4 linked regions of the Diceros bicornis minor genome follow. The protein of the gene in region 1 purifies or fractionates together with the protein of each later gene. This does not show direct contact. Links are inferred from orthologs where the notes say so. Each region holds a gene or a part of one and is shown in the gene's direction. Other genes may lie near its edges.

Region 1 (7,317 bases):
AATTGAACCCGAGGAGGGGGTCATTGGAACCTCTGATTCATAGCCAATCAGTGAGAAGCACAGAAGACAACCTGGACTTGCAACTGGCATCTGAAGTAGGATGCAGGCAGTCTTGTGGCAGAGCCTGTAACCTGTGGGATCTGATGCTATCTCCAAGTAGATAGTGGCAGAATTGAGTTCAAGTGTAGGATACCCAGCAGGTGTCACAGAGAATTGCTTATTGTGGGGAAAAACCCCCACACGTTTGGTGACCAGAATTGTCAGTAGTGAAGTGCTCTGTGTGAAAGTAAAGGAGACACACAGGAGAGGAGAATGGTAGGTTTTTCCAACACAGTAGGGAAATGCAAATCAAAACCACAATGGAACACCACTTCACCCCATTAGGGTGGCTATCATAAAGAAAAAAACAACAGAAAATAACAACTGTTGGTGAGGATGAAATGGGAACCCTTGTGCATCGCTGGTGGGAATATAAAATGGTGCAGCCACTGTGGAAAATGGTAAGGCGGTTCCTCAAAAACTTAAACATAGAATTACGACACGATCTAGCAATTCCATTTCTGGGTATATACCCAAAATAATTGAAAGCAGGGACTCAAACAGGTATTTGTACACCCATGTTCATAGCAGCATTATTCACAATAGCCAAAGGTGGAAGGAACCCAAGTGTCCATCAACGGATGAATGGATAAACAAAATGTGTTTGTTTGTATACATACAACAGAATACTAATCAGCCTTAAAAAGGAAGGACATTCTTTTTTTTTTTTTATAATTTTATTTATTTGTTTATTCCCCCAAAGCCCCAGTAGATAGCTGTATGTCACAGCTGCACATCTTTCTAGTTGCTGTATGTGGGACACGGCCTCAGCATGGCTGGAGAAGCAGTGCATCGGTGCACGCCCGGGACCCGAACCCAGGCCACCAGCAGCGGAGCACGCGCACTTAAGCGCTAAGCCACGGGGCCGGCCCAGGAAGGAAATTCTGACACATGCTACAACATGGATGAAACTTGAAGACATTAGGCTAAGTGAAACAAGCCAGTCACAAAAGGAAAAAGACTGTTATGACTCCACTTACATGAGGTACCTAGAGTGGTCAACTTCATAGAGACAGAAAGTAGAATGATGGTTGCCAGGGTCTGGAGGGAGAAAAGAATGGGGAATTAGTGTTTAATGGGCATGGAGTTTCAGTTTGGGAAAATAAAAAAGTTCTAGAGATGGATAGATGATGGTTGCACAATGTGAATATACTTAATGCCACTGAATTGTACACTTAACAATGGTTAAAATGGTAAATTTTATGTTATGTGTATTTCACTAGAACAAAAAAAAATAGCAGGGCCGGCCCCGTGGCTCAGCGGTTAAGTGTGTGCGCTCCGCTGCTGGCAGCCCGGGTTCAGATCCCGCGCGCGCACTGACGCACCGCTTCTCTGGCCACGCTGAGGCCGCGTCCCACATACAGCAACTAGATGGACGTGCAGCTATAACATACAACTATCTACTGGGGCTTTGGGGGGAAAAAATAAATAAATAAAATCTTTAAAAAAAAAATAGCAAACTAAAACTATCTCTGAGGTTTTATAAGAATCAAGTAAGATCTATGTAGAAAAGCTTTGTAATCTATATGGCTCTTCACAAACATTAGCTCTTTTTAGTCATTATCACCCTGTTTACCCCAACCTGATCCCATTACCCACATGCTCTACCCAGCTATGCTCACCCAGCAGTATACTGTTGGAGTTCAAGTGCTGTCCAATGATATCCACCTCCATTTTGCTAAATCCTGGATTTCATGTGCCAAGGCAACAGTGTCCCATAGTTCTGGTTCTGAAACAGAGCAAGCCTCCAAATAGATATAAGTTTTAGACAAGCCTGGTGGATTCTAGGGAAAAAAACTCAGGGACTTTCTCCTCTTTACTCAGTTTTCCCCAAAGCTTGGCTTGGAAGCAGTCCCCACTCAGCAACAGGAGGTCACCATGGCATTGCCAAGAACAAAGTAAATATTCCTCCACTTCAGTTGACCACCTAACTCCCTGGCTTGCTACCCAGCAACATATCTCATAAGGCATATCTCTTTGAGCAGGTGAACAATCCTGAAATTTCTTTGAAGGAAGAGGATTCTGGGGAAGGAAATGTATTCATTAAGCATGAATTGAGAACAAAAATAGTTAGATAAGAAAAAAAAATGAAAATGAAAATCACAAGACTAGAATGACCAGCTGTGATGGATTGGACAACTCTCTGTAACCTCAGAGTTGAACCCTCACATATTCCCAGAAAGCATAGATATTGCTGCAGAACCAGTGTGATAATGCAGTAGTGCAAAAGTTAGGAATGGTGTTTCTTTCTGCAAAGCAAGCCACTTGGTACCTACACCCAGATACTGACCAGGATCTGTGTCAGCATTCAGGTGCTCTCTGAGAGACCCAAGTTTCCTTAGCTCTTTTAGGCGCTGCTCATTGAGGACTTCTCCTAACATAGGTAATGCTACAGTGCCATCTGGAATCTTTCTCATGCAATATGTCTATCCAGGAGTTGCTGCCTTTCCAGATATTCCCTGGAGGACCAATGAGGGATTTCATTCCATGACTCTTTGAGGAGCTTTAAATGTGGGTCAAACATGAAGTAGTACTTACCTGGCCTTGGAAGTTTGACTTTCTACGGCCAGCAGAAAGAACCCGAGTCTCTATGCTCTCACAATCTTGAACATCTTTGCTTGCTTCACTTGTACCTTATCCAAGATTCTTAACATCATCAACAAGATAGGATAAGAACTCAGGACTTTTCCACAAAACTTTCTGCCAATGCCCCACAAATCTTAACTGTGGTTTCCCAAATTCTTTGATTCTCCATTATGTACCCTTTCTCTTTTGCTCAAACCCCCCAAAATAACACTTATTCTATATATTTAGCCCCATTTGTGTAGAAATGCATCTTTCCTAGTTCTCCCCCTACCTCTTCATACTGCACCTATATCGTTGTGTTAACTGAGCCTCAGTCAGAATACCTACAACAGCATCCAATGTCCCACCTTCTGTCTTCATTTTTCTATAACCCAGAGGCAAAAGAAATGTGTCACTCTGGGAGCATTGCAGTGACAGGAAGACTCTCGTGGACAACAGGCACTGAGGCAGGGGTCACTAGCACATGGCCTATAAACGAAACACAAATGTTGAAAAGCAAAAGCTTAGGAAATATCCCTCCCACACATCTCCTCTTTTATAACTAGTAGAATAGGGCTGGTTGATGAAGTGATAGAACCAACAACCCATTCTCCACAGACGGCTGATGGCAGCAGAACAGGCCAGGTTAAGTGCCTCAACCCATTCTTGAGTGGTTCATTACTATTAGTCATTGACCCACCATCACCAGGTCACACGCTCTCAGTTCTTTTCCAAAAATGGTAATAAAGTATATTGAGCTATCCATATTCTCTCAGTTATACTGGAAGGCAGAAAATACAGCAGTTAAGCATTCAGCCTCTGGAGCCAAAGCAACCTGAGTTCAAACCATGCTTTAGCTGCTTGCTGTGTCCCACCGGTCAATGATGTTTTCGGATACCCTGCCTGCCAATGTCCTCCGCCGCCCCACCGCCTCACCACCGCCAAACACACGGAGCCCAGGGGCTATGCGAAAGCAGCCAGGCACGTCTCCCTTTACCTCCCCATCTCCTCCGCTATGCCGGCGCCTTCACGTCGAGAGCCCCTCACTCTCTCAAGCTGCCGCGACCCTCTTTCCGCATCTCACTCCGTACACTCACAGCTTCTACAAAATGATAATCCCCACGCTGGTGGGCGGGGCCAAGTATTCCCCTCCCCTAACAGGGCGGGATTAAAATGAAAGTACCGGTTGTTAGCAAACGACTTCCCTTACCATGGTAAAACCGCTACCGCCATCTTTATTGAGGCCGACGATTACTTGTTAGCCTAAAAAAATGAATAAGGAATTCTACAAACTAAAATCCTTCAAATGAGCCTGGGGCCGCCGGAATCCGGCTCCGAAAGGAGCTACAGCCCAGCCAGAGTGGGTTAGCGCTCTCGTGGACATAACGCGCGCCTGCTGCTGACGGAATAACGCCAGGGGAGGGGCCCGCTGTCCGCCCGGCCCAGGCGCTTCCGGCTTACGCGCCGTACGGAAGCGTATTCGGCGCTGGACTCGCGCGCCGTACGGAAGTGTGTTCTGGCGCACCGGAAGCCGCCGGAAGAGAGCGATGGCGGGTTTGACTGCGAGAGATCCTGCGGTGGATCGTTCTCTACGTTCGGTGTTCGGTGAGAGGAATTCGGTGGAGCCAAGCATCGGTGGGGGACAGAAAGAGAGGGAATGGCGAGGAGTGTCCCTTGCACCTCGTGAATCGCCGCGGGAGCCGGTTGTGGGTCGGGCGTGCAGCTCTACCTGCCTATCCTGTGGGGCGGCCAACCTGGTGGACTCGTGGGCAAAGTGACGCTCCCCTAACCCCGAGGTTTCGCAGCCTTTCCACGATGTGCCTGAGGAAGTTAAATAGCGTTCAGCTTCTATGTGTTTCTCCTTCCATGAGCTTCAATTATTATCTAGAAGCGAGGGCGCATGGCAACTGTCCCGTACTACTTCTCACTCCCTGTCCCAGAATACAGATTATGTGCTGAAGGTATAGATCCTTGTGCCCACTTTCCGCCTTCTCATGAGGACTTTCATTCTCTGCTTTTTGCCCCTAACATTTTAGTTCGTCGATAACGGTAGCGACCATCTGGCATCTTAAGGTGGATTGTAAATAAATGAATGAATGAACGACTAAGACCTCGTCAAAGAAATTTTAAAGAGGATCGAATCTATTCTGAGTAATGTTTTCAGCCGAAATAAGTTGTTTTTTTATCAAAGTACATGTGATGATTTAAAGCACCTTTTGGAAGGACATGACAAAACAGTTCAGAATAATTTTTAAACATCCTCCACTACATTCATGGTCATTCTCCTTTGAGTGTGTGTATGTGTGGAAATACGGACATAGAAGCCGGTTTTAAAAATTATAATATTGATATTTTTAGTTGTTGTTGTTAAGACTTGGAGACTTTCAGGTAAATACCAATGCCTAAGTATTTATTTTCACCAAAGTTAAAGAAAATCTAACACTTGTCAGATCAGTCTGAGAAGTGATATTTAGGAGTGCCTACACCTTTTGTAGTTAGTCTCAGTGGTTTATTTCTCTTGTAATTAAAGTTAGCAGGCAAGATTGAAATCTTGTCTAAGGGAGTACCACAGAACTGGGATTGGAGAAACACCATATTTTGAGCCAGTTGTTACATTTTCAATGATATAAGTAGACACTGTGTACTTTCTCACTATAAAGATCTAGGTTACAAACTCAGAACTTAATATGCTATTTTCTTCCTTAGTGGGGAACATTCCATATGAGGCTACTGAAGAGCAATTAAAGGACATCTTTTCTGAGGTTGGACCTGTTGTTAGTTTCAGGTGAGATCCCCTTTTACTCCTTGGTGAGAGTTTCTTAAAAAGCCCCACAAATTTGGCCCTTAGTAATAGTGGCAAGGTTTTTACTGGTGACTTTATACATGCATTCTTTTTTTTTGTTTGTAACAGCTTTATTGAGGTATAATTCATGTACCATTCAATTCACATTTAATTTTACTAAAAGGTACATTTTTTTTCTTTTTTTTTGTTTTCCTTTTTTTTTTTTTTTGGTGAGGAAGATTGGCCATGAGCTAACATCCATTGGCAATCTTCCTCTTTTTGCTGAGGAAGATTGGCCCTGAGCTAACATCTGTGCCCATCTTCCTCTATTTTGTATATGCGACGCCGCCACTGCATGGCTTGGTGAGCGGTGTGTAGGTCCATGCCCGGGATGCACACCTGCAAACCCTGGGCCACCGAAGCAGAGCACGTGAACCTAACCACTTTGCCACCAGGCCGGCCCCCATTTTTTTCATTTAAAAAAATGTTTAAAAAATATTTCAGTGAGGCAGAGTGATGAGGTTATTTGTCTTACAGTGGACCAGATCAGGACATAGCAACGTTAGCAGGAACCCTGTGTGTATGTAACATTTGTGCCTGATACTTGGTTCTGCTCTCCAGATTGGTATATGATAGGGAGACAGGAAAACCAAAGGGTTATGGCTTCTGTGAATACCAAGACCAAGAGACGGCACTTAGTGCCATGCGAAACCTGAATGGGCGTGAATTCAGTGGGAGAGCACTTCGAGTAGACAATGCTGCCAGTGAAAAGAACAAAGAAGAGCTAAAGAGTGAGTATAAACCCAAGTTGTATGTAACATGAGTTAGTAAAGATGTAACAATGAAGATTTTCCATTTATGATATGTTTTAGCATCTGCTGAAGTGATTAGCCACACACTTTCTTTACTTGACCCATCTGAAATGCCTGCATTAGGGAAGTGTATATCTTTGAGAGACAAGGTAAAATTGACTTTAGAGAGTTGACTTTAGAAGTCCTTCAGTTGCCAGGGAGTTGATTTCCAGTTAAAGATGAGTTCAGGCTTACCAAGCCATTAGTAGTGTTAACTATGTCATTAGTGTTTGCCATTCCTGTAACTATGCCAGATCTGTAAATGGTGGGACTACTAAGGCGTTCTTATGACTTTTTTCATGAGGTAATAGATCCAGGAATTCCATTTTGAGGTTAACATCCTTTTCTGTTTAAATCTTTTGCTTAATGACTTGTCAAAAGAAATCGATATGCCTCATTCCTAATTTAACATTGTCCACCCATGTGTCCCAGCTTTCCTCTGAGAGCAGAAAATACACTCCTTCACTTCCTCCACAGAAATAAGAGACTCGTAAATCACTTATTTCTCAGCTCCAGAGAATTTAAAGTTATCAACAGGTCCTTACAGCAGCCCTGGAAAGTAGATACTTGAAGTGGTTTAGCTCTTTATTTTGTCTTCTTAACCATTTTGTACTTTCTTCCTGATCAGGCCTTGGCACTGGTGCCCCTGTCATTGAATCACCTTATGGAGAGACCATCAGTCCTGAGGATGCCCCTGAGTCCATTAGCAAAGCAGTTGCCAGTCTTCCACCAGAGCAGATGTTTGAGCTGATGAAACAGATGAAGGTGGGAGGAGGCATTAGGTTATGAATAAATCAAATCACATCAGATTTACAAGGAGTTAATTAATAAAGTTAATGGAAATGATTCTCTGAGCTCAAATAGAAAGTGTGCCTATTGACCACCATTTCTTGCACCTTCAATATTCTATATGTGCACAGTGTATTTCACATTTCATGCAAAGAGCTTTCCATTTTTGTTACACCAACACACCTACACAATCTGGCTGGGTTTTTGTGGCCCATAGATATCAGATGTAGA
Region 2 (7,017 bases), on another chromosome or scaffold:
CGGTTATGACATCCTCAGAGTACTCTTTCCAAAAGCAGCCAGGCGGAAACGAAAGTCCAGCCGCCCACCGTAAAGAAACCCCTATTTTTCTTCCCTTTCCCCGTCTCCTCCGCTGGAAGCCTCAGGAAGCCCTGGGCCGCTCCGGCCCTGGCGAGGCCCGGACCCCCTCCCATACACACACAGAGGTCTTTCCTGGAGACGCACCCTCCCCGTCTGCACAACCTGCGACCCCAGACCCACCTGCGGCCTCGGTGCCAGCAACGACCCCACGACCTAGGGTAGTGGCGACCCAGCCACCGGCGCCGGCGGAAGCTGCGGCCTCGGGACCTACCATTCGCCGCGCCCGCTCGAAGAGAGGGGCGGCACGGGAAATCATCCCTCTTCTTCCTTTTCATGTTTGATATTTCTCAAATTATTTTAGCTTTTACACATCATAAATTACTTAAAGATAAAATTTCAGTCCCAGAGAACGAGACTGGTTGGTGTAAGCGCCACCTCCTTCCTATAGCTTTGGCCCCACCCCCCTCGAAGATGGTATCACCCTGGGTCTTCCCCGCCTCAGCCGTGCGCCTCCAGTTTCAAAATGGCGGCCGCCATTGAGGGGCCTCTGTTGGCGGATCTTCACGGATGGTGCTGAGCGAACGTCAGCTTTTCTCACTCTTGAACCTGAATTCGACTAGGGGTTGGGCAGGGCAGTGGACGGCGTTGGGGGAGGACTGACGAGGCAAGTGGGGGCGGAAGAAAGTGCGCCTTTGGATGGGGGAGGGGGCGTCTTCGGCCCTCCGGGAGAGCCTGGCTCCAACTCCGACCGGGTCTCCTCTGGGGACGTGCTCCCGGGGTTTCGGTTGCGACTGTCCTGGTCGTTCCTGGCAGAAGTGCCCAGCGAGGGAAAGAGAAGTGGCTTCTCCAGGGGTCTGAAGCTCTCGGGCTTTTGGAGCAGACCGTACGGCTCACTCCCAGGCTCTCCTTCCTTCCTTGCTGCTGTTTCCCTTCGCCCTTTCAGTCTCGGCGCAGGAGGAGTTAATCCGACGCCAGCTTTGCTCCTTTGGCTCGTCGTTACCGTGTTCTCAGCCTTCTCGCTCGGGGTCTTCCTGTCTCTCGGGTTGAGAGATCACGAGGCTACCCAGCGGTGGGCGCAAAGTGGGCGTCCTTTTTAGTTAATCGACTCCGAAGACCTTTTAGATGTCGCTGTGCTTTATTAAAACCGTCTCGGCCCTCCAGTTCCCTCTCTCCATCACTTCCACCATCACTGCATTGTGCACGCTCTTCAGCAAACAGCAGTCAGACTAGCCATAACCCGGCAAGTCTGGCCCCCTGTGCCCAGGGGAATCTGAGTTATCAATTGTCCCCCCCCCCCCCGCTTTTAAATTTTACAATCCCTTTGAACCTTTTAGGAAACTGCTGCCCTCCCCGAACTGACCAGGGAGAAACTTTTCGCGCTTAGTGAGCTCGAGAGCCAACCCAGATTCCTTCGTTCTTCCCTTGGATTTTGTATAGTTCCTCTTAGTTGGCGTCAACAAGCAAGGTCATTATTGAGAGAGCAAGTAACTGCGATAGATCTTTGAGATGAAGTAGTAATGCTCGGAATCACTGCCGTGAAGGAATGTGTATGGTTAGGGTTCATTCCATCTTTCAGTACACATTTATGTTGCTTTGAGCACTATGCTTGGTATTGCCCAAAGATGATCACTTTTACTCTTTGGCAATACATTCAACAAATATTGTTTGTGCCTACTTTGTGCTAGGTAAACATAAATAACGGCCTGAGGACACCAAAAAAGCTTTGTAAAGGAGTAAATATTTGAGGTGGGTCATGAAGGGTCTAAAGGAATTTACTAGGCTCAGGAGAAGGTCATTCCTGGATGCAGTACAGGGATGCAGGGACTTGAGAAGTTTGGTGTACTTAGGGAGAGGGAAAATATATGTGCTTGAGCATGCAGTGCAGGGGTGGTTGGTGAAGCAAGAGGAAAGTTGAGATCAACTTGTGAAGGACATTGATTTCCAACTAAGAAGTTCAGATTTAATTCATTAGTTAGCAGGAAGCCAGTGAATACTTTGCACAAGGTAGGGGCATGAGTATATTTTAGGATGGTCTCTGACAGCTGTGTGGAGGGTCAACTTGGAACAGGAAAACTAGATGAGAGGAAATGGCAATCATTCAGGTAAGGCAATGAGTGCCTCAACTGAGGTAGGATAGTAAAGGATGTCAGAGAGACATGTCTGAAATGTCAAATAGAGTTCAACTGGGGGCAGCCAATTTGGTGGTAAGAGGGTGACTCCAGAGTTTTTAGTCTGGAGACTAAATGGTTGGTGATTCCATTAAAATCAAGCCAACGACATGTACATAAATATAGAGTGGTGCCAACAAATATAGAGTGGTGCCAACCTGCACTTTAGGAGTGGCAGAGGATAATGTTCTACGGTCCAAAGCATCGATTTTAAGAGTCTAGACCAGTGCTATTACAGTAGCCACAAGCTACATGTAGCAGTTGAGCACTTGAAATTGTGGTTAGATCAAATTGAGATGTGCTGTAAATATAAAATACGCAGTGGATTTTGAAGACTTAGTATGAAAAAAGAAGATAAAATATGTCAATTATTTTTTAATAATGATTACATGTTGAAATGACTATATTTTGGGTATATTGAGTTAAATAAAATATATTAAAATTAATTTCACTTTTAAAACTTTTCACTGTGGCTGTGAAAATATTTTAAATTACATTTGTGGCTTGCATCATGTTTTTGTTGGACAGAGCTGCTGTAGCCTAGACTAATGATAGAGGAATTAGGAAGGAGGTGGAATTTGAGCTGGGCCTTGCTGCTCCCTTCAATGCCAGTTAAGGCATTCAGGTTTTTGTTTTTAGTTTTTTCAAGCAGTAAGAAGCCTTTCAGAGATTTCTGGGCAAGGGATAATATGTGCAGGGGTGCTTCTGAAGATTAGTCTAGCAGAAATATTTAGGTTAAGATGAAGGGAGGAAAGGCTGGAGGCAAACAGAGAACCCAAATGTAAGGTAATGAGGCCCTGCATTAAGGAACTGGCAGTAGGAATGGACAGGGAATGATACGTGTGCCGGGCATTCTGAGGGAAAAATGCTCAGCAGTAGGTAATACACTGTTCAAGAAGTAAAAGAAGGAATCAAACATGTAGAGTTTCAGACCTTGGTTACCTAGATAACGACTAATGAATTCATGTCATAGAATTATAAAGTACATTTGAGGCTAAAGAAATTTAGTTTCAAAATAAAACCAGCAAAATTGAAAGGAGGAAGTGGTCTGCTAAATACTCTCCCCTTTTATCTCCCTGGTTTCTGTATCTTCTTATCTCATCAGTCATACACATCAATTAATTTTCTTAAAATACAGAATTGCCTGTATCATGTCATCTTCTTACTTGATAATGGATCTTAAAATGTTTCTCTGTTGCCTGTAGAGCTAGATCCAAAGTTACCAAGGCCTTTTATTATCAGGCCCTTTTCTATGCATTAGGCCTTTTCTTTCATTTTTTGCTTATATGAAAATGTGCCAGGCTAGTTTTTTCACTAGTATTCTGTAAATTTTTGTTTTGTGCCTTTGATCGTGTTATTCCCCTGTTTTGAGTACCTTTTCTCTTTGTCTCTTTGTACCCAGGTCCTACCAACCCTTAACAAATATTTTAAGATCCCACCTCTTTATGATTCCCTGTAACATAAACTAATGTCAATTTTTAAAATCTTATTTCCTAAACTGCATATTGCAGCCTCTGATAATAACTAATTTGGTTCATTATTATTTATTTTTGTCTTTTGTTATTATCTTTTATTATTTTATTCTTGTTTTATGTAAGCTTAAACTTCCTAAAATTATGGTTTCTTTTTTAAAAAAGGACCATATATTATACTACTTGTTGCTGCTCACAGTGTTCATCTTAGAACAAGACATAGAAGTTAAACACCATAATTAATAACAGAAGTAAATTGTTATACCATGTTCATGAGACCCTTGTTTCTTCACTTTTTAGATTTATAAAGAACTCTTCCTTTGAATTCATGGTGTTTCATCCGATATACGACTGAGATATCAGTAAGTAATGAATATCTAATAAAGATATAGTTTTATTATATTATGAGAAATTGTAATAAAAATATATTTTCATCTGTTGAAATCTGGGTCTGTCTGCAAAAAAATTTAACATGAACTCATTCAGTTCTATCTGCAAGATACTTTTTATTTTCACTTCGTAATCTAAATAAAGACAGTGAGAGTTAAGGTAGATTTCAGTAGAAAAAGAGTTTCTCTTAGGCCATGAATATAATTGTGGTACAGGAAGCTTTCTGGCAGTGAGAATTTCTTAGGTCCTTTCCAAAATTATATTTATAAACATTTTTCATCAAATAGAGAATTAGTATCTTTGTACTTCTCATACCTGACAAATAGGAACATGTTAAGTCAGTATATTTTTAATTTGAACTTGTTTGTTTCAACAACAATTTATTGACCAACCACTATGTGTAAGACGTGCTAATATAGTAAGGATACAAAAATAGATCAAGCCTAGTCCTGCACTCAGAGAGCTCTCCCAAGCAAGGGGAAATGCATGCAAATAGGTAACTGTTAATAGTGTGGTGAGGGCACTAAGCTCAGGTAATACTAGTCATGCTTCATGCATTTATTCAAGAGGCATTTGTTGACCGCCACTCTGTGTCAGGCACTATGGAGGCACTGGAATATAACTGATCCAAATAGACAAGGTCTGTACTTTCATGGAGTCCATATTCTAGTGTAGGGGTTAGGAAGAGAGAAGAGGACGGACAAGGAGAGTAAACACAGACGTTGCCAGAATAGAAAGCAGGAAGTATTTTGAGGGCGTTAGAATGATGTCATAGGCTGTAACTGAGGTGGGGAAGGACGTTAGGGTGGTCAGAAAACTGTGTCTGAGAGAATTAAGTTTGAGGCAGGGAAAATAGACAAACTAGTTAGAGGTCTTGGTGACAGTGGAGATAGAAGGAAATTTGAGAAATAAAATGGAGGCAAAAAATGCAGTACTTACTGATGGATTGGATGTGGGAAGCAAAGGAAGGAATCAAGGACGATGCCATCAGAGATCAGATGATATTTAAAGCTATGGAACTGGGTGAGATTACCTAGAAAGAGAAGAAAAGAAGTCCTGCTGAAAACCATGGCCACATTTAGAGGCTGAAGAGCGAAAGAGGAATTAACAAAGGAGATTGAGGAGTGGCCAGTTAGGTAGAAGGAAAGCCAAGAGAGGGTTGACACAAAAGCAGAGAAAGGAGGGCGTTTCAAGGAGGATGGAGCAGTTCATTTGACTGAATGCTGCTGTGATTTCCAGAGAGTTGAGGCCAGAGAAATGTCCATTGGCCTAAGTTGTATAGAGGTTTGTCAGTGACCTTGGTGAAAGCACTTCTAGGATATCGTGGGGAAAGATGCCAGATTTGGTGGTGTGAATGGGAGGAAAGAAAGTGGAGACATGTTTGTGGGCAAATATTCTGAGAAATGTTGCTGTGAAAGGGGAGCAGAAATGAGGAAGTGGTTGGAGGGATTGTAGGATTAAGAGAGGGTTATTTTAAGTTGGGAAATTCTAGAGTATCTTTGTATGCTAATAGGAATGGTGCATCGATGATACATAGATGATGCAGGGGAAAGAAGGAATGACTGAGGAAGTTCAGTCCTTGAGAAGGTAAATGAGAATGGGATCCAGAGCACACATAGGACACTGGCCTTGGACCAGAGCAGGGCTCTTTATTCCATATAATAGGAGACACAGCAGTGTACACGCAAATAGGTTAGTAGATATGGTATTGGAAGATGAGAAGTGACTGTCTGATTACTTTTATTTTCTAATTGAAGAATGAAGTGAGATTACCAGCTTTGAGTAAGGTGGAGGGGGTGGTACATGATGCTTGAGCAGAGAAGAGATGTGAAATAACAGTCTCAGAGATGGAAAGTCAACCTACTAAGAAAAATCAGATTCATAGGTAGCGCTTAGTGCCTGTTTGAGATCTTTGGTCATGAATTTAAAGAGCAAACAGCACAGTTGTGTGATTGGGTTTTTTCCTTTGGCAGCGTTCAGCTGCTGGAAAAGACAAAGTGAAGGACTGGAGTCAGTTAGGGTTGGGGTTTTGCCACGCTAGTACAGAGAAGGGCTAGGGCATCAAGGTACTTGAGAGTGTTTGCAAAATAATCCTGAGGGATCGTGGATTGATGGCAAGACAAGAATGGAGACAGGAGGGGGTCATGGATAGTGAAAAAGTGGTCAGTGGGTTAGAGATACCAGTGAGGCCAAAGGATTTTTGCAGTGGGAATGCTAGAGTAAGTAAGGTGGTAGTGAGAGGGTGAGGTGCTTGAACGTGAAATTTTGAAAGTGGCATGGCTTATTGGTAGTGATAAGGTCTAGGGTGTAAACGTGATTGTGGGTGGCTGAAGTGAAGTGAAGATTGTTGGAGTTGAGAAAGTCAGGGGACTAAGAAGTCAGTATTGAAGCTCCTGAAAAAAAAAGGCTGAGTCAGGAACTCAAGTCCTCAATGACAGGTCAGATTACTGCATACCAGCGATGATGAGGAAGTGGAGAAGGCTCATAGTGAACTAGCTGGGTAGCGTGAGCTGTGATGGGACTGGAGTATTTGAAGGGGGAAGGAGAAGACATGGTTTGGAAGCTGCAGTGAGGAGCAAGGAACACATACCTCCTGCTTTTGCGGTGCAGTAGTCCCCCCTTATCCAGGGGGATACGTTCCAAGACCCCCAGTGGATGCCTGAAACCGCAGATAGTACCAAACTTTATATATACTATGTTTTTTCCTATACATACATATTTGAGGTGCAGCAGAAAAACTAGGACAAATTTTTTTCCTTCACATTTTCACAGAAGATTCCTTCTTACTGTAGATCTTGGCAACCTCAGCATATGATTTTTTTCTTTCCTTATTAAGTCGAGAACTTGCACATTTTCACTTAAAGGAAGCACTTTATGGCTTCTCTTTGGCATATCCGAATTGGCAGCATCAGTACCCTTGCGCTTTG
Region 3 (7,231 bases), on another chromosome or scaffold:
CCCGCTGCTGGCGGCCCGGGTTCGGATCCCGGGAGCGCACCGACGCATGGCTTCTCCGGCCATGCTGAGGCTGCGTCCCACATACAGCAACTAGAAGGATGTGCAGCTATGACATACAACTATCTACTGGGGCTTTGGGGGAAAAAATAAATAAATAAATAAAATTAACACACAGTGAAGTACGATGCAAATGTTAAAAAAAAAAGATGGAAGAAAATCTTTATTTTCATTATTTCATTCCCTACTTTACTGGTAGGGAGTGACATCCACAATAAACTAAGTAAAAAAGGTGTACAATAGTGTACCTTTTGTGAAAGAAATAAGGCGAAATATATGCATTGCTTATTTTCACAAAAAGAAACACTAGAAACATTAAACTGAAAACTAATAAAAATGGTTACCTATAGAGGATGGGAATGGGTTTGAGTGGGTGGAGGGGATAGAGACTGACGTGAAAACTTCTCTGAGAATACCTCTTTACATAGTTTTGATTCTTGAGCCAAATAACGGGGTTTTCAGATTTAAAAATAAAATTACATCTAAAAAAGCCAACATTAAAATTGAAAACAAATGGAAAGAGTTGAACTTAACTATATATCAAATTGCTCCGGTAAACTCCGAGAGAGAAGAATTATTTCAAGTGACTTTTGTACAAGGCATTCTGACTGAACATCCTTAATGTAACATAATCTAAGGACAAAAAGAACTTTAAAGAAATCTTAAACCTCACTCAGCAAATGTATTGTTATTGATTTTTTTGTGTGTGTGTGAGGAAGATCAGCCCTGAGCTAACATCTATTGCCAATCCTCCTCCTTCTGTTTTTTTTTTTTCCCCCAAAGCCCCGGTAGATAGTTGTGTGTCACAGCTGCACATCCTTCTAGTTGCTGCATGTGGGACGCGGCCTCAGCATGGCCAGAGAAGCAGTGTGTCGGTGCGCGCCCGGGATCCCAACCCGGGCCGCCAGTAGCGGAGCGCACGCACTTAACCGCTAAGCCACGGGGGCCGGCCCAGTGTTATTGATATATTGATATTTTAGTATTGGTATTTTAACTTAGAAACTTTTAAATATATTTTGTAGGAACCAAGATTTTCAGCATAAGAGAAAAGAGATACAAATGTAAAATCAATAAAGAAAAAAATGTTAAATTTGAATTGGAAATCAATATACGAACTCATAATTTAAAAAATACATTTCCTATCTCTGAGCACTGAAAAAGCCTAGAAGCAATGACATCCAGTGGCAAAGAGAACATCTACTGCCCACATCTTGAGTCTAATTACTATTCCGAAACTGAAGGAACCAGGATGCCTGAGACTGAGTCCAAGTCTGTGACAGGGAAAGTACATAAGTGGGCCTGGGACATCCTGTACCACTAGGCCAAGAAGTTGTCCAAGACTAATGGCATCATGTCAAAAAGACATAGGATCCACTCACCCTGTACGAAGGGACTCGTATTGGCCCCAAAAGAATAATGATTGCAATTGATTGAAACAACTTACGTCTTAAAAAACTCATAAATCCACAATGATACTCAAAAAGAGAAAGCCAGAAAAAAAAATTCATTTTTCACTACTTGAAGCTTAATATTAAAGCTTGAAGTTTAATATTAAATTGAACTCTTTACTTCAAAAATTGGTCATTAAAGGGAAAAAATTAAGCATTTACCCTGTTTTTTAAAGGTTAATGAGGAAGAAGACTTTTTCACAAAAGAGCTTTCTATTGATATAGAAGGAATAATGGAATTAGAACATTTTTATTTAATCACCAAATATTTCATTATTAATTCAGGAAAGATTAATCAATAGACGACCAAACCCTGGTGAAAATTTGCAGGGGAACAGGAAATGGACACCACGCCAAAGTCTTACTCTGCAATTACTTGTTAACTACAAAAAGTGAACTGTACCTAATGGAGAGATCTGATGGTCACCACCTTAAACAAGTGATCAAACTTAGCATCAATCAGTAATTTGATGTATCTCCTGATGTCATACAAAACGAAGTTCATAGCTATACCTATGACATATTCTTGCCAAAATGTTTAACCTGAATCTAATCACTCCAGAAGATGGAATATTCTTAGAGACAACTGGCCAGCTCTCTCAAAAAATTCATAAAAGATAAAAAGATGAGTGGACTATTTCTAGAATAAAAGAGACTGAAGAGATATAACAACGAAATGCAATGCTTGAAACTTGATTGGATCCTGATTTGTGAAAACTTCCTATAAAGACACTTTTGGGATACCTGGGAAAATTTGAATATGGACTGAATAGTATATATTAGGAAATACTTATTAATTTTTTTAGGTGCTATAATGGTACTGTAGATACGAAGAGTGTCCTCATTTCAGAAAAAACAAACTGAATTATTTTGGGATAAAGTATCATTATGTCTATAATTTACTTTCAAATTATTTTGCAAAAACACAAACTATATCTATAAATACATACATATACAGCAAACATGCCAAGATGTTAGTCAGTAGATCAAGATGGTGGGGATACAGTACAGGTATCTATTGCATTATTCTTTGAATTTTTATCTAAGTTTTTCATTAAAAATATTGCGGAAAGATGGCATTTGAGTCAAACTTTGAAGAATGGAATGTGAATACTATTCTTCTTTTTGTTTGTGTGAGGAAGCTTGGCCATGAGCTAACATCTGACGCCAATGCTCCTCTTTTTGCTGAGGAAGATGGGCCCTGGGCTAACATCCGTTCCCATCGTCCTCTCCTTTAGCCGCCAGAGTACGTCTTGACAAGCGGTGCGCCCGTGCGCACGGGGGAACGGAACCAGGGAACCCCGGGCCACCGCGCAGAGCGCGTGAACTTACCCACTGCGCCCCCGGGCGGAACCCTGAATACTATTCTTCAGGACTGTTGTTCTTCCATTAGTTCATCATAGACAAACTCAGAAGCAGATAAAAAGAGAAAAATTGTGACAATCTAGAGATAACTACTTTTCATGTTTTGAACTACTGTGTGTATACTACATATTTATACTACACATCCTATTTAATATACACTGTTTTCGTTTTCTGCTTTTTCACTTAACAATATGATGGATGTTTTTTCTGTCAGTAACTGTGTATCAGCATCAGCTGACTGGCTGCATGCCATTCCATTATAGAGATACATTTAACTAGTCCTGTATTGTTGGATGGTGTGATAAACATGTTAACATACCTCTTTTGCCTGTGTCTGATTACTCGGAAGGGTAAGAATTCAGGCTGTGGAAAGAGCGGAGGTGAAAAGATGTGCAGAGGCGGGGCGACTGAGCAGAGTTAAGGCATGTATGGGGAAAGCTGAGAAGCTGACTTGGTCTGGGGCGTAGGCCCCTGTGGGGAAGGAGGGTGGAAGGAGACATCGCATGCTGAGCCTCGAATGAAAGAATTTGAGACTTGCTCTCACGTAATCTCAAACTACGCCAGGTACTGTTTCGAGCACTTTCTCCTGTGTAACTTACCTAAATTGCAAGTACTACTGTTATTCCTATCGTAGGCCAGGAAACTGAGGCTTGGGGAATTTCAGTCGCCCGAAGTCACCCCGCTAGTGAGGAGGTCAGCCCTCTAGTGCGCCGCAGGCAGCACAGACAACGCAGCTCCGGAGCCTGAGCGCTATGATCCCCACCTTGCCGACGAGGAACCACGGTGCGACGCTGAGCCTAAAACGCGGCCTGCCTGTCTTCACAGCCTCAGACACAATAGCAGGTGGTAACGGTGTATGTTAATACGGTTTGATCTGTCCCTCTCATCCCCCAAAAGGGTAAAAAGCATTAGCCGAGACCATAGAAAACCTCGATGGATTCATCTCCAAAATATTGGAGTCATTTCACACGGCATTCCCCCCAAGTGGCCATCTGCCTGAACTGAACTGACTGGCAGTCAGGCTACAGCGGCGTAGATTCCCCACAGCTCGACGATTCCATTCCAAAGGCGCGCGAGCCTCCAGGCGGAACGGCTTCCCGCCTCCCCGCCGGTGGCAGCCAGCGCCGCAGCAGCCTTTTCCCCCCAGGGCCGTGACGTCAGCACAGACCTTGGGCCCGCCCCTGGGACCTCTCTGCTTCTGCGCGCCCGAGTGACCGGTCAGCTGTGCTCTCAGCTCCGCCCGCTGCCCCGGAAGTGAATGCAGAAGCCACACCTCCCTTCTCGGCCGGCAGGGGCGCAGCCATTTTAATTCATATCTGAGTGGGCGGTGGCGTTTCGTGTTGGCGGTCTGGCTCCGCTGGGCAGGGGGTAACTTGACTGGTTTGGGGGTGGGTTTTAGTTTAATTTTTCTTTTCTAGCTTCGCATCGCGGGCCAGTTCGCACCTTTTAATCAGCTGAGGCCATGTCAGCAGACGGAGCCACGGAACAGGTGAGGAAGGAGAGTGGTGGGGCCTCGTGGCGACCTCTTCTCTCCACGTCTCAGTTGGTCCGAGTACTCCAGCCATGTTCGCCCGAGGAAGGAGTCGCGGGTCTAATGAACCCGCAGGACCGCGTGCAGAGGGGTGGTGGGAATGGGAGCAAGATCTGACCGAGATTTAAAATTATTTTTTGGCTTTTCTGTCTTAGGCGCTCATATGAACAAATACTTGACTTAGACAATAGCCGGGAAGCCGCTTCCTGCCGTTTAAATTCGTGGCACTACTCCGATGGGATGCCTGCCTTTGATACCGTTTTGACGTTAGGAATTGATTATTTTAACGTGTACCCGCTGTTTTCGAAAAACTCAACAATATTCCCTCCGTCCCCTCTGCTGTATATACTGTACCCAGAAATAGGTTACTAGTTGAAGAAATTAAGATGAGACTAATTGGAGAAATAGATTCTTGCAAGAGCGAATGCAGAAGGAAGTTTGGGAGTAGAGCATGGTTATGCTGAGATTTGGGAATTTTGTGGCGTTCTCCCGCTTTCTTCTTTCTCTATCCACATTTCATTTTCGTTTTTCCAGCGATACAAATATTGCAGAATTTGATACATCGAAAGTGAGAATAAGTTGTAAAGAAAAGCAGCTGTTTTAGTATTGCATATAAGTGACGCTTAAATATTTTGAAATTCAGATTTTTAGATAAACAAGTTCTTTTGTTCTTTATTCAGAATTTTGTAGGATAGTATTTATCTCTTAGTTTGAAAGAGGAAGCTGATGTTTTAAAAGATGTCATTCAATTTGTTTATCGATGTAAGTCCTGGTATGTTTAGGTAAATAATTTTTAAAATGGAGGCTGGCTAGCCTGCGGAGTCTCAATTTCTTGAAATTTCCCTTTGCCATAGCAACGAAATACACTTAGGTTTTCGTTTTTCAAGTCCCCAGCTTATAACGTGGAGGCTGTTCTTGGAGGTTGACAGAGACGAGGCAAAATTCGAGCATTCCCGTCGAGTAGTCTGGGTGACTGTAAATTGCATTATGTCGAGAAAGTTTGGCTAAACTGAATTTTGTGTTTGCTTGTCGATTGATTTCAGTTCTGAAATCTTCGCAGTGTTTACATTTCACATGCTGTTAGAATAGCCAAAAATGCCAAATCTTAAAATTATATCAAATCTGTTTATATATAACTACCCTTTCTGTTTTTCTGGGCTCATATTTTGTCATCTGAAAGTTGAGGAGGAGTAATGTACTGAGGTTTCATTGAAAGTTTTTGGAATCCATTGTTAATTCTTAAATTTATCTAAAATTGTAATGACACTGAAATGTTGCTATGACCTGGAATAGTTCACAATTGTGGTGTTTTAAATGGGAGAGCTGGTGGTGAAAACTTAAGAGAAAAAAATTTCATCCAAAAGTTTTATTTTGCGAAGTTTAGAACATAGAAAAAAGTTGAGAAAGAGTGCAGTGAACACCTACAGTACAGTTCTTCACTTAGAATCAACAACTATTAAACGTTTTGCTATATTTGCTTTCTCTCTCTGTACATATTTATTTGAAAGTCAGTGGACACGTTTCAGCATTCTCTTATATAAGGACATTAATGCCGTTCTATGTAACCGTAATACCATTTTCCCACCTAAAAAAATTAATAGTAATACCGTATCATTTATAAAATCAAGTCCATATTCAAATTTCCCCAATTGTCCCAAGTGATTCATACAGTTTTTGTTTTTTTTTTAAATCAGAATTTAATCTGGGTTCACATTACATCATTTGGTTATGACTCTTGAATATTTCCTCTGTTTTTGTCTCCCCTAGGATAATGTCTGGTTGAAGAATCCGGGACAGTTTTCTTGTAGGACTTTTCATTTTCTGGGTTTATTTGATTTTTGTGTGTGTGGTGTCATTTAACTTGTCCCTTCATCTTCTGTATTTCCTGAAAACTTTATGTTTAGGTGTAAACTCAGAACTTTGATAATATTTGGGTTAAATATTTTTGGATAGAATACTTTATAACGTTACATCCAAAGGCACTTCATGCTAGGTTGTTCCACTATTTAGTGATGATTAAGTTTGATCACTTGGTTAGGGTAATGACTGTGGATCTCTTCATTGTAAAGGGTTATTTCCCCTTTTGCAGTTAGTAATCTGTGGGTTGATACTATGTTCCTCAATAACCTTTTACCTAGTTATTTATCATCAATTGATAATCATTGAATAAATCAGTTGTTACATTGGAGGTGGGAAATGGTAGTTTTTTAAAAATTCTGGGGGCCGGCCCGGTGGCTTAGTGGTTAGGTGCGCGCCCTCCGCTGCTGGCGGCCCGGGTTTGGGGCCCGGGTTTGGGGCCCGGGTTTGGATCCCGGGCGCACACCGACGCACTGCTTCACCGGCCATGCTGAGGCCGCTTCCCACGTACAGTAGCTGGAAGGATGTGCACCTATGACATAACAACTATCCACTGGGGCTTTGGGGAGAAAAAGGGGGAAAAAAATTCTGTTATTCTGTCTCTGTTTACTGGCTCATATTTCTCTGTAAAGAAGGAATTTCCTGTCCCCCCCGTCCCTCCTTTTTAAAGATTATCACTGTGGTCTCAAGAGTTTCTTGTATTTAATAGTATGTTAAAATCACCTATAGCCATTTTTCTTTTGGATGCTCAACTTATCCTAACCTTTATGATGGCTCCTGGATCTTTTTTCCATCGATCTAAAAAGATATTTTTGAACATCTGATTACCGACAGAGAGTCATCTTCATATAATCTTTTCTTCAACTTTTTGATATGTTTCAAACATGCAAAAAAGTAGAGCTTCAACTCATGGTTAATCTTGTTTTTTCCATGCTTTCGCTTGCTCTCCCCACCCCTATTACTTAGAAGCAAA
Region 4 (8,011 bases), on another chromosome or scaffold:
ATGGAAAAAAAACTGTCAATTATAATCGCTAGACACCATTGACTCTAAAACCCATTCCATTTTCAGAAAGTTCAAATGGGGAAAAAACTTGCGTCTTAGCTCAATGAAATATGATAGACATTGCTATGGCTCTCTAAATAACCCTCTATATACTCTTGCACCCATTCAACAAATATTTATTGGCCACCTACTCTGTGCCAGGCACTGCTCCAAGCACTTCACAGGAAGTCTCCTTTCAGCCTTACAACGGCGCTGGGGGGAGACGGGATTATGACGCCCATTTTACAGATGAGCAAGCTGAGGCCCAGAGAGGTTGTCTGGGGTCACACAGCAAGGAAGGGGCAGAACCGGGATTCTGAATCCAGGCAGTCTGGCTCCAGATCCGTGTTCTGGATTATGCTATACAAGCAGGAACCAAGACGGACTGCAACATCTGTCCCCATGGAGATGATAGTCCAGTGGGAAATGAACAAGATAAGCAAGGGAAAATATGATGCGTGGTGGACGGTGATTTCTCTCTTTCTGTGTGTATCTACCCCTTTCATCCACCGTCTTCCATCCTCTCTCCCTCAATGCTCCATCTGCCTGGCTGCCCTGCTCCCTCCCTCCCCCTGCCCCCCCCCCCCCCCCCCCGCCCCGGGGTCTCCCAGCACTGGGGTTGCTGCTGTAGCTCCGGCGGGAGCCACCTTTGCTATGAGTCCATGGGTCCCTGTCTTGTCCCCTGTCACGTAAGTGTCTGCAGGTCCCAAGGTCCAGAGAGAAAAGGGAATTACCAGGGTCACTCACGAAGTCAGGGACAGGTGGCAACCAACCTAGGTCTGAGTTCCAATCAGAAACTCTCCCCTCTTTCTTTACGTGTCTCCAGGTAGCTCTTTTCTCCCATGTCTCTTTGAATCTCCCTGTTGGCTCTGTGTGTCTCTGTCCATCTTTCTCCCTGCCTCAGTACGTCTACACCCCTCCCTCTCCCACTCCCCATGTCCATTTCCCCAACCCCCCGCTGCCCCACTGTCTTTGCCTTTCCCACTCTCTTTCTCCTCTCCATGCTCCCTCCCTTTATATCTCCCTCTCCTCCCTGCTGTCTCCCCCTGTCTCTCCCTCATCTCTCCCCCTTCTGCCTTTCTCTCTTTGTGACTCTCCCCAACCCCATCTCTCTCCCCTGTCCTCTCCCCTCCCAACCTGTCTCTCCCATCTCTGTCTCCCTCCCTTGGCACTATCTTTCCCTCTGTCTCTCTCTACCCCACTCCTCTCCCACCTCCCATCTCTCTTTCTCCTTCAGCTCATCCTTGTATCTAGCTGTCTCCTTCCCTCAGCACCACCATCTCACCAGAAGTCTCACATGGAAATTGGAGCCCCAGCTACTCCCCTGCCCGCATGCACCGGTCTCCCCCGGGGTTGGCTGGTTCTGCCCCCTCCCCAGAATATGGAAAGAGGGTCCTTCAGAGATGAGAGGAGAAGGTGATGGACTCAGATGGTGATGGACCCCACTTCTCCAGCTCAGTCAGACTCTCTTGTATCACAGAGGAGGACAGACTGGGACCCCAGGGCCCTCCTTTTCTGGCTCCCCACCCACCCGGAAGTCCTCCTTGAGGTCTGACCTCAAGCACTCCAGCTGCCCTAATCCACCCTAGGCTTTCCCACGCCCCGGGGCTGGGATGAACCCCCAGTGTCCGGGTGTGAGCCGGATCTCCCCCGCCAGGGTGGGGTGAGATGGGGGAAGCCCTCAGGGGACCTGCACCCCCACCCCAGGAGGCTGGAATTTCTCCCCTTTCATTTCCTTATTGTCTCTGGAGGAGGGTGTGACAGGGAGCAGAGGGAGGCAGTGTGAAGCCAGAAGCCTAGTTTCTAGTCCCAGTCCCAGCCCAGGACCTCAAGCAGCCCCCAACACTCTAAGAGGCTTCAGACTTTCCATCTCTAAAATGTGGGAGCAGTTGAACCAGCTGATCTGTGAGATCCAGAGGCCAATGGGGTCACCCCAGGGTGATAACTTCCCAATTTCCTTCCAGACAGAGAGCCAGCCTGCGGGGGTCAACATCATCCTAGCAGGAGGGTGTGGTGGGCAAGAAGCAGTTTAGGGGCCCTCTCAGTTTTCTGTTGCTGAGTGAGCCCAGATGTTTCTCTTCCCATTGGTCTGACCCAAGGGGAGGAGATGGCTCGGCTGATGAGAAAGCTGGGGAGACCCTCAGACGGTATTTCCATTTCCAGCCCCCCATATGCTGACTCTTCCAAAATATGCCCCCAAATGCTGATCATCTCTAGACTGTCCCTCCATTTCTGACACAATTTCCACACCAATTGTCCCCTAAACTTCAGACTGTGCCCCAAATAATGACTTCTCCATCCTAGACCCCCACAATCTACTTCTGAAGATGTGCCTCCAAAACAGATTTGTGGTTGGTTCCCTTAAATCATGTCCCCAGAGTCTGAACTCTCTGGGGGTAAACCCAGTGGGATCCCCCACTACCTAAGAGCCTCCACGTCCAAGCTGGTCTCTGCCTTCCCCACCAAACAACTGACACCTCCAGCCGCCCCACCTCCACCTCTCAACAGTCCCAATCCCTTCCCTGGCCAGCCTGCCCCACCCCACGTGCACCTCACACCTCTGCAGCCCCAGGACTGGCCCCTCCTGGGCACCTTGCCAAGTTCTGAAGGCCTGGGGATCCAGGAGTCCCACCCTACAGCTTCAAACCCCAGACCCAGGACTCAGGCACACTGGGGCCCCTGTAACTTCCAGATCTCAGTCTCCTTGGAGAACTCAACCATTCCAGCCCCACACCCCCACTGAAGCCCGCAGTCTCCTTCCAGGTTAGGAACCCAAGTGTCCAGACCCCCATAAGCCTCTGACTAGGACTCTGCCCCTCTCTCCACTTCGCAATGTTGACTATGGAGACAGTGAGCTAAGGAGAAGGAGTCCTTGCAGTAAGAGGAATGGGAGTTAGACTTAGAGAAGGACTTGCTGTTTGCTGAAGTGAGGGGACTAAGATATACTCCCGCCCCCTTACTCCAGGGTGGCCTTGTCTGAGATGAGACTGCTGAGGACATTAGCAATTACTGGAGATTGCTGGAAGGAGGGGGGTAGGTGCGAAATCTGAAACCCTCCAGCCTCCAACAAGTAGAATTCCTGCTGAGGGTCTCTAATAACCATTAAACCACTGAAGTTCAGTTGGGAGGGGTGAGGGTCCTAAGTAGCCATGGGGGGAAATGGAGATTGATCCCTCTCTGGCCAGTGCTATTGCTCACATCTCCTGCTCTCAGGTTCGCAATTCTGACCCCACTTGGGCCCCTACCTATGTGAACCCCAAACCAACCCACCTGTTATTTCAGACTCCCCAAGGCAAGCTTCTTCTCTGAGCATCCCCATCTCTTATCCCCGAGCACCAACCTCAATTTCTGAACTTATCTTAGATTGCTACCCGGATCCTTAGCCCTGAACCCTAATTCTGATTTCTACCTCAGAACCCCCACCTTTAACACTATATTCTAACCCTGAGCTCCCAAGTCAGACTTCCCTTAATGGTGACCTCTCTCTCCTATCTCTTAGTTCCCGTCTTTCCCCCCAATTTTGAATCCCATTTCCTAATCCTCCAGCTCTGTCCCCTGTCCTGGAGCTCTGATTCCTATCTTTGATTTGTTCATTTTAATTCCTTGGATTTTAGGTCCCTAACACCCAACCCTGACGTTTAAGCTCTGACATGACCGTTGCCTAAATTTTCCTGACTCCCATTTAAGCCCTCACGCGGACTAGCCTACCTAAACCGCGCTCGCGTGCCTTGTCCCCCGTCCCTGACTCCTACACCTGGTCTTCGTGTCTCTAGTTCCTCCGCTCCTAAACTCTAGTTGGGGCCCCCATTTGAGCCCACACCGCGGTCCTTGCCCCCACATAAGCCCGCACCCCGATTCCTGCCCCCCATTTCCCGCTCAGCCATCCCCGAGGACACACCTCGCCCGCCTCCGGGTAGTAGCTCCATTCGGCCAGGTCATGGGCCTCCATCTTCACCGAGCCCAGCATCCCCCGGGCCTGCGCCCCCCCCCGCCCCCGCTCCGGCCCGGGGGGACCGAACGCTTCGGATCTCTCAGCCGGCACGGCCCGAGTTCTGACCGGGGCACGCCCGTCTGACCGCCCGGGGTCCCAGCCGTCCCGGGCTCCGCGGGAGGCGGCCACGCTTTATAGCCGGGACACCCCCCCGCCCTCACCCGCCCCGGGCTCCCCTCCCGCCTCCCCGAGGGCGGCGCGCTCGGACTGGGGCGCCCCCTGCGGGATTGCGAAGAGATAGACCTCAGGCGTCGGGAGCCGCAGCCCAGGGACGCGAGAGCCGGAGATGGCAGAAGAGTGAGGGAGCTACTGGTGGGAGACACTACTGATGCTAAGGGCCCCGAGGGCAGAACTCTGGGGCCCTTCTACCCCAGGGGGTTTCATCATCTCGACAGGAGAAGCGAATAGCCAGAGCGCGGCATGACCGCCGCGGAGGAAAGGGGGCTCAGAGCGCAGTGCACTCCAGGGATCCGGATATGCCAGTATAAGGACCAGTAAGAGACCCTCGAAACCATATTCTCATTGATCGCACTGGAAGACTGAAGCTTCCGACAGCTAGAAATGCTCCAGACTGTGTAAATGGTCAGGACCAAAGGTGGATGGGATCGGGGCCTCTGCTCAGATCCCAGTGGGGCAACAGACCACCTCCAAGACCTAGGAGCTTCGCCGCCCGAACTCGCCACTCCCTCTAACGCCAGCCGTCCAGGGACTGAGAACCTCTGTGAACTCCATTTCCCAGAAGCCTCTAGCTCCCTTTCCGTCCCGCGCCTCCGCCAAGGGACTACATTTCCCAGAAGGGATGGCGTCAGGAGGCCGGAAATGAAGAGCCGCCCGGGAGTAGTCTGGGGGAGGGCGGAAAGCCACTCGAGAGGCGTGAGGGAGGGGCGGGGTCGGGCCGCGGTGTGGACTGCATTTCCCGGCGACCCTTGTGTGTGCGGCGCGTGCGCAGTGTCACGGCGGCGAACGGAAGATGGCGGCGGCGGCGTCTGTGAAGAGGCGCTGCTGAGGGGGCGCGAGGGGTACGGAGGCCGGAGCTGCGGTGAGCGGGGGGGCGGCGTGGGGGCCCGGCGACGAAAGGAAGAGGGACCCTGAAGCGGCAGGGGCGCCGGTCGGGGGTTGGGGGCGCTGTGAAGAGGGGAGCAGTGACGTTCGGGACCTCACTGTCTTCCCCTGCTCAGGACCCTCCCGTGGCTGCCCAGTGGCCTCAGGCAAAGTTCCAACGTGGCCCCCGAGGCGCGTCCGCCCCGCCGGCCTCGACTCTGCCTCTTTGCTCCTTCCCCACTTCGCACAGCTGCACTGGCCTTCCGGTTCCTCAAACTCGCCTTGCGCCTTCCCGCCTCAGCCTTTTGCACACGCTGTCTCCCTTTTACCCATTCCGCCTGGCTGACTCCCATTCATCTCTCGGGTCTTGGCACCGACGTCACTTCCTCTGCGAGGCCCTCCTTTCCCGCCCTCCGTCCCGAAATCCGCAGGCTGAACGCTCTCATAGGTCCCTGTTCCTCTCCTTCATGTCACGTGTGGTCTGGTTTGTTATTGGACCTGTATTGGTGCGGCTGTTTGATCGTGTCTGTGACCGTGAGCTCCACGGGGGCAGGGACTGGGTGGGTGCTGGTCACACCGAAGACACCCAGTTAGTGTTCGTTGAATGAATGAAAGATCCTCCTGGGGCCGCTCTGTGTAAAAGAGGGAGTCGTCATACTCCCAGGTGGGAGTGGGGGAGTGGTACTCCATAAGGAGTGCACGGGAGAGAAAGGAAACAATCATGTTGCTGATAGCAAACGACTGCAGACTCCTCGAATGTTCTTTAATAGAGACACTGGCAGGAAGAAACTGATGACATGCACATAATAAAGTAAAATATAAATAAAATGAGAGAGGAGGGAAAAAGGAATGAGGAAAATCTCTATACACTGATATAGAGAGTGGGCTCCAGCATATATTAAGTGAAAACAAATGAAATGGAAGACAGTGTTTATTCTGTGCTGCCTTTTTACAAAAAAAAAAAGGAAAGTATGTGTATGTTTAAAAAGAATAAAAGGATAAGCCAAAAAGTGGAAGAGGAAGGACAGAGAGTAAAACATTTTGGTGGATCTCAAAGTATTATCATCATGAAAAGAGTGGAAAGTTTCGTCGTGAAAGCTTCATTCTGTTCTGATGGGGGACAGCAGTATGCTGGTGTCGGGTGGATGTGCCCCTTGGCTTCCATGAACAGACCTGGGGTGGAGAAGCACTTCCTTTCAGAGAGGCGTACAGCAGAGTGTTGAAGAGGATAGATTCTGCGCCCATAGTGCTGGTCTGCATCTTACAATCTATGAGCCTTCGGTCAAGTGACTTTACCTCCCTGGCCTTCAAATTTCTTTGTCTGTTAAATGGAGGTTAAAAATAGTACCTGCCTCCAGCCAGCCCCAATGGCCTAGTGGTTAAGTTTGGTGCCCTCTGTGTTGGCAGCCCAGGTTCAGTTCCGGGCGTGGACCTACACTGCTCTGTCAGCAGCTATGCTGTGCTGGTGGCCCACATGCTGAAAAATAGAGGAAGATTGGCACAGATGTTAGCTCAGGGCGAATCTTCCTCAACAACAACAACAAAAAATAGTACCTGCCTCAAAGAGTCGGTGTTGGGGAGGGAGAGGAAATTGAAATTTGAAGTAGGGTCATCAGGGAATACCTCTCTGCTGGGATATTTGAGTTGAGACCTGAAGGAAATGCGGAAGGAGGGAGCTGTGCCAGTATCTGGGGCGAGGAGTATTCCAGGCAGAAGGAAGAGAAGGACAAAGGCTTTGAGGAGTGGGCATGCTTGGCATGTTCAGGGGACAAGAAGGAGGCCAGAGTGGCTGGAGCAGAGAAAGCTGGGAAGGAAATGAGGGCAGAGGTAAAAGGGGCCAGATCATATAAGGTCTTGTAGGCTTATAGTGGGGACATTGGTTTTGACCCTAAGCAAGATGTGGGGGTGAGTGGCAGCAGGGAGACTAGGAAGGAGGCTGTTGGATAGTCATTCATTCAGCAGACATCTGGTGAGTAACTCTTGTATACATTACATCATGGTCCTTTTGAAAGATGCATCTTCTTACCCTCCTCAAATTATTGTTAACAGTTTGTGCAGTATCCTTCAGATCTTTTCTGTGTACATAAAAATAGTAGCTATACTTACCTCACGTTCCTAACTCATCTACCCCTCAGAAGAGTCCTGGGATGGAAAGACTGTTCCTATCTCTTTTACAGAAGAGGAAACTGAGACCCCACTGTTTCTTGCCTTAGGTCATTCTGCGTATACTACACAAACTTGACAAAATTGCATATATTTTTCTGTGGTGCAGCAGGCTGTCGGGACATCTTTTTATGATGATAATACATTGAGATCCACCAAACTTTTTTTTACCCTTTCCTCCCATTTCTGCCTTTTGGTTTATCCTTTCAGTTCTTTTCTTTTTTTAACATGTATACATATTTCCGTTTCTTTTGCAAAAAAGGAGAATACAGAAAACGTCTTCCACTTTGCTTGTTTTCACTTAATATTTGCTGGAGCCCACTGTTTATCAGTGTGGAGAGATCTTCCTCATTCTTTTTTCCCCCCTCCCTCATTCCTTTTTACAGTCGCATGGTATTTTATTATGTGGATATATCATGGTTTTCCAACCAATCTCCCTATTTAAGAACATTTGGGTTCTGATAGTCTTTTGCTATTAGGAATAGTGCTGTAGTTGATAGCCTTCTTATTTCATAATTTTGCCAGTGTGGCTTTGGGACAGATGCCCAGAAGTCTCCCCCCTCCTTTTTAAAAACAACTCCGTGGGCCGGCCCCGTGGCTTAGCGGTTAAGTGCACGCGCTCCAAGTGCACGCGCTCCGCTGCTGGCAGCCCGGGTTCGGATCCCGGGCGCGCACCGCTTCTCCGGCCATGCTGGGGCTGCGTCCCACATACAGCAACTGGAAGGATATGCAGCTGTGACATACAACTATCTACTGCGGCTTTGGGGGGAAAAAATA

What was found.
Region 2: the proteins of CSTF2 (region 1) and CPSF2 purify together in Homo sapiens (affinity purification with western blotting; 3 studies listed by BioGRID and IntAct, with this or other methods). This does not show direct contact. The link is inferred for Diceros bicornis minor from reciprocal best matches to the Homo sapiens genes CSTF2 and CPSF2.
Region 3: the proteins of CSTF2 (region 1) and CSTF3 fractionate together in Homo sapiens (co-fractionation; 4 studies listed by BioGRID and IntAct, with this or other methods). This does not show direct contact. The link is inferred for Diceros bicornis minor from reciprocal best matches to the Homo sapiens genes CSTF2 and CSTF3.
Region 4: the proteins of CSTF2 (region 1) and SYMPK purify together in Homo sapiens (affinity purification with mass spectrometry; 4 studies listed by BioGRID and IntAct, with this or other methods). This does not show direct contact. The link is inferred for Diceros bicornis minor from reciprocal best matches to the Homo sapiens genes CSTF2 and SYMPK.

Annotation. Positions count from the first base shown.
Region 1 is NC_080781.1:93,991,975-93,999,291, forward strand, and holds the start of CSTF2 (cleavage stimulation factor subunit 2), read left to right. Parts: upstream 1-4,301; 5' UTR 4,302-4,564; coding exon 4,565-4,625; intron 4,626-4,652; exon of another isoform or gene 4,653-4,814; coding exon of another isoform or gene 4,815-4,815; intron 4,816-5,370; coding exon 5,371-5,449; intron 5,450-6,067; coding exon 6,068-6,237; intron 6,238-6,925; coding exon 6,926-7,062; intron 7,063-7,317. UniProt on the Homo sapiens protein: One of the multiple factors required for polyadenylation and 3'-end cleavage of mammalian pre-mRNAs. This subunit is directly involved in the binding to pre-mRNAs.
Region 2 is NC_080763.1:37,946,347-37,953,363, forward strand, and holds the start of CPSF2 (cleavage and polyadenylation specificity factor subunit 2), read left to right. Parts: upstream 1-3,998; 5' UTR 3,999-4,062; intron 4,063-7,017. UniProt on the Homo sapiens protein: Component of the cleavage and polyadenylation specificity factor (CPSF) complex that play a key role in pre-mRNA 3'-end formation, recognizing the AAUAAA signal sequence and interacting with poly(A) polymerase and other factors to bring about cleavage and poly(A) addition.
Region 3 is NC_080770.1:35,104,653-35,111,883, forward strand, and holds the start of CSTF3 (cleavage stimulation factor subunit 3), read left to right. Parts: upstream 1-4,218; 5' UTR 4,219-4,332; coding exon 4,333-4,359; intron 4,360-7,231. UniProt on the Homo sapiens protein: One of the multiple factors required for polyadenylation and 3'-end cleavage of mammalian pre-mRNAs.
Region 4 is NC_080773.1:20,037,169-20,045,179, reverse strand, and holds the start of SYMPK (symplekin), read left to right. Parts: upstream 1-4,994; 5' UTR 4,995-5,069; intron 5,070-8,011. Other genes in the region: FOXA3 (hepatocyte nuclear factor 3-gamma), read right to left, coding at 3,938-4,006. UniProt on the Homo sapiens protein: Scaffold protein that functions as a component of a multimolecular complex involved in histone mRNA 3'-end processing. Specific component of the tight junction (TJ) plaque, but might not be an exclusively junctional component. May have a house-keeping rule.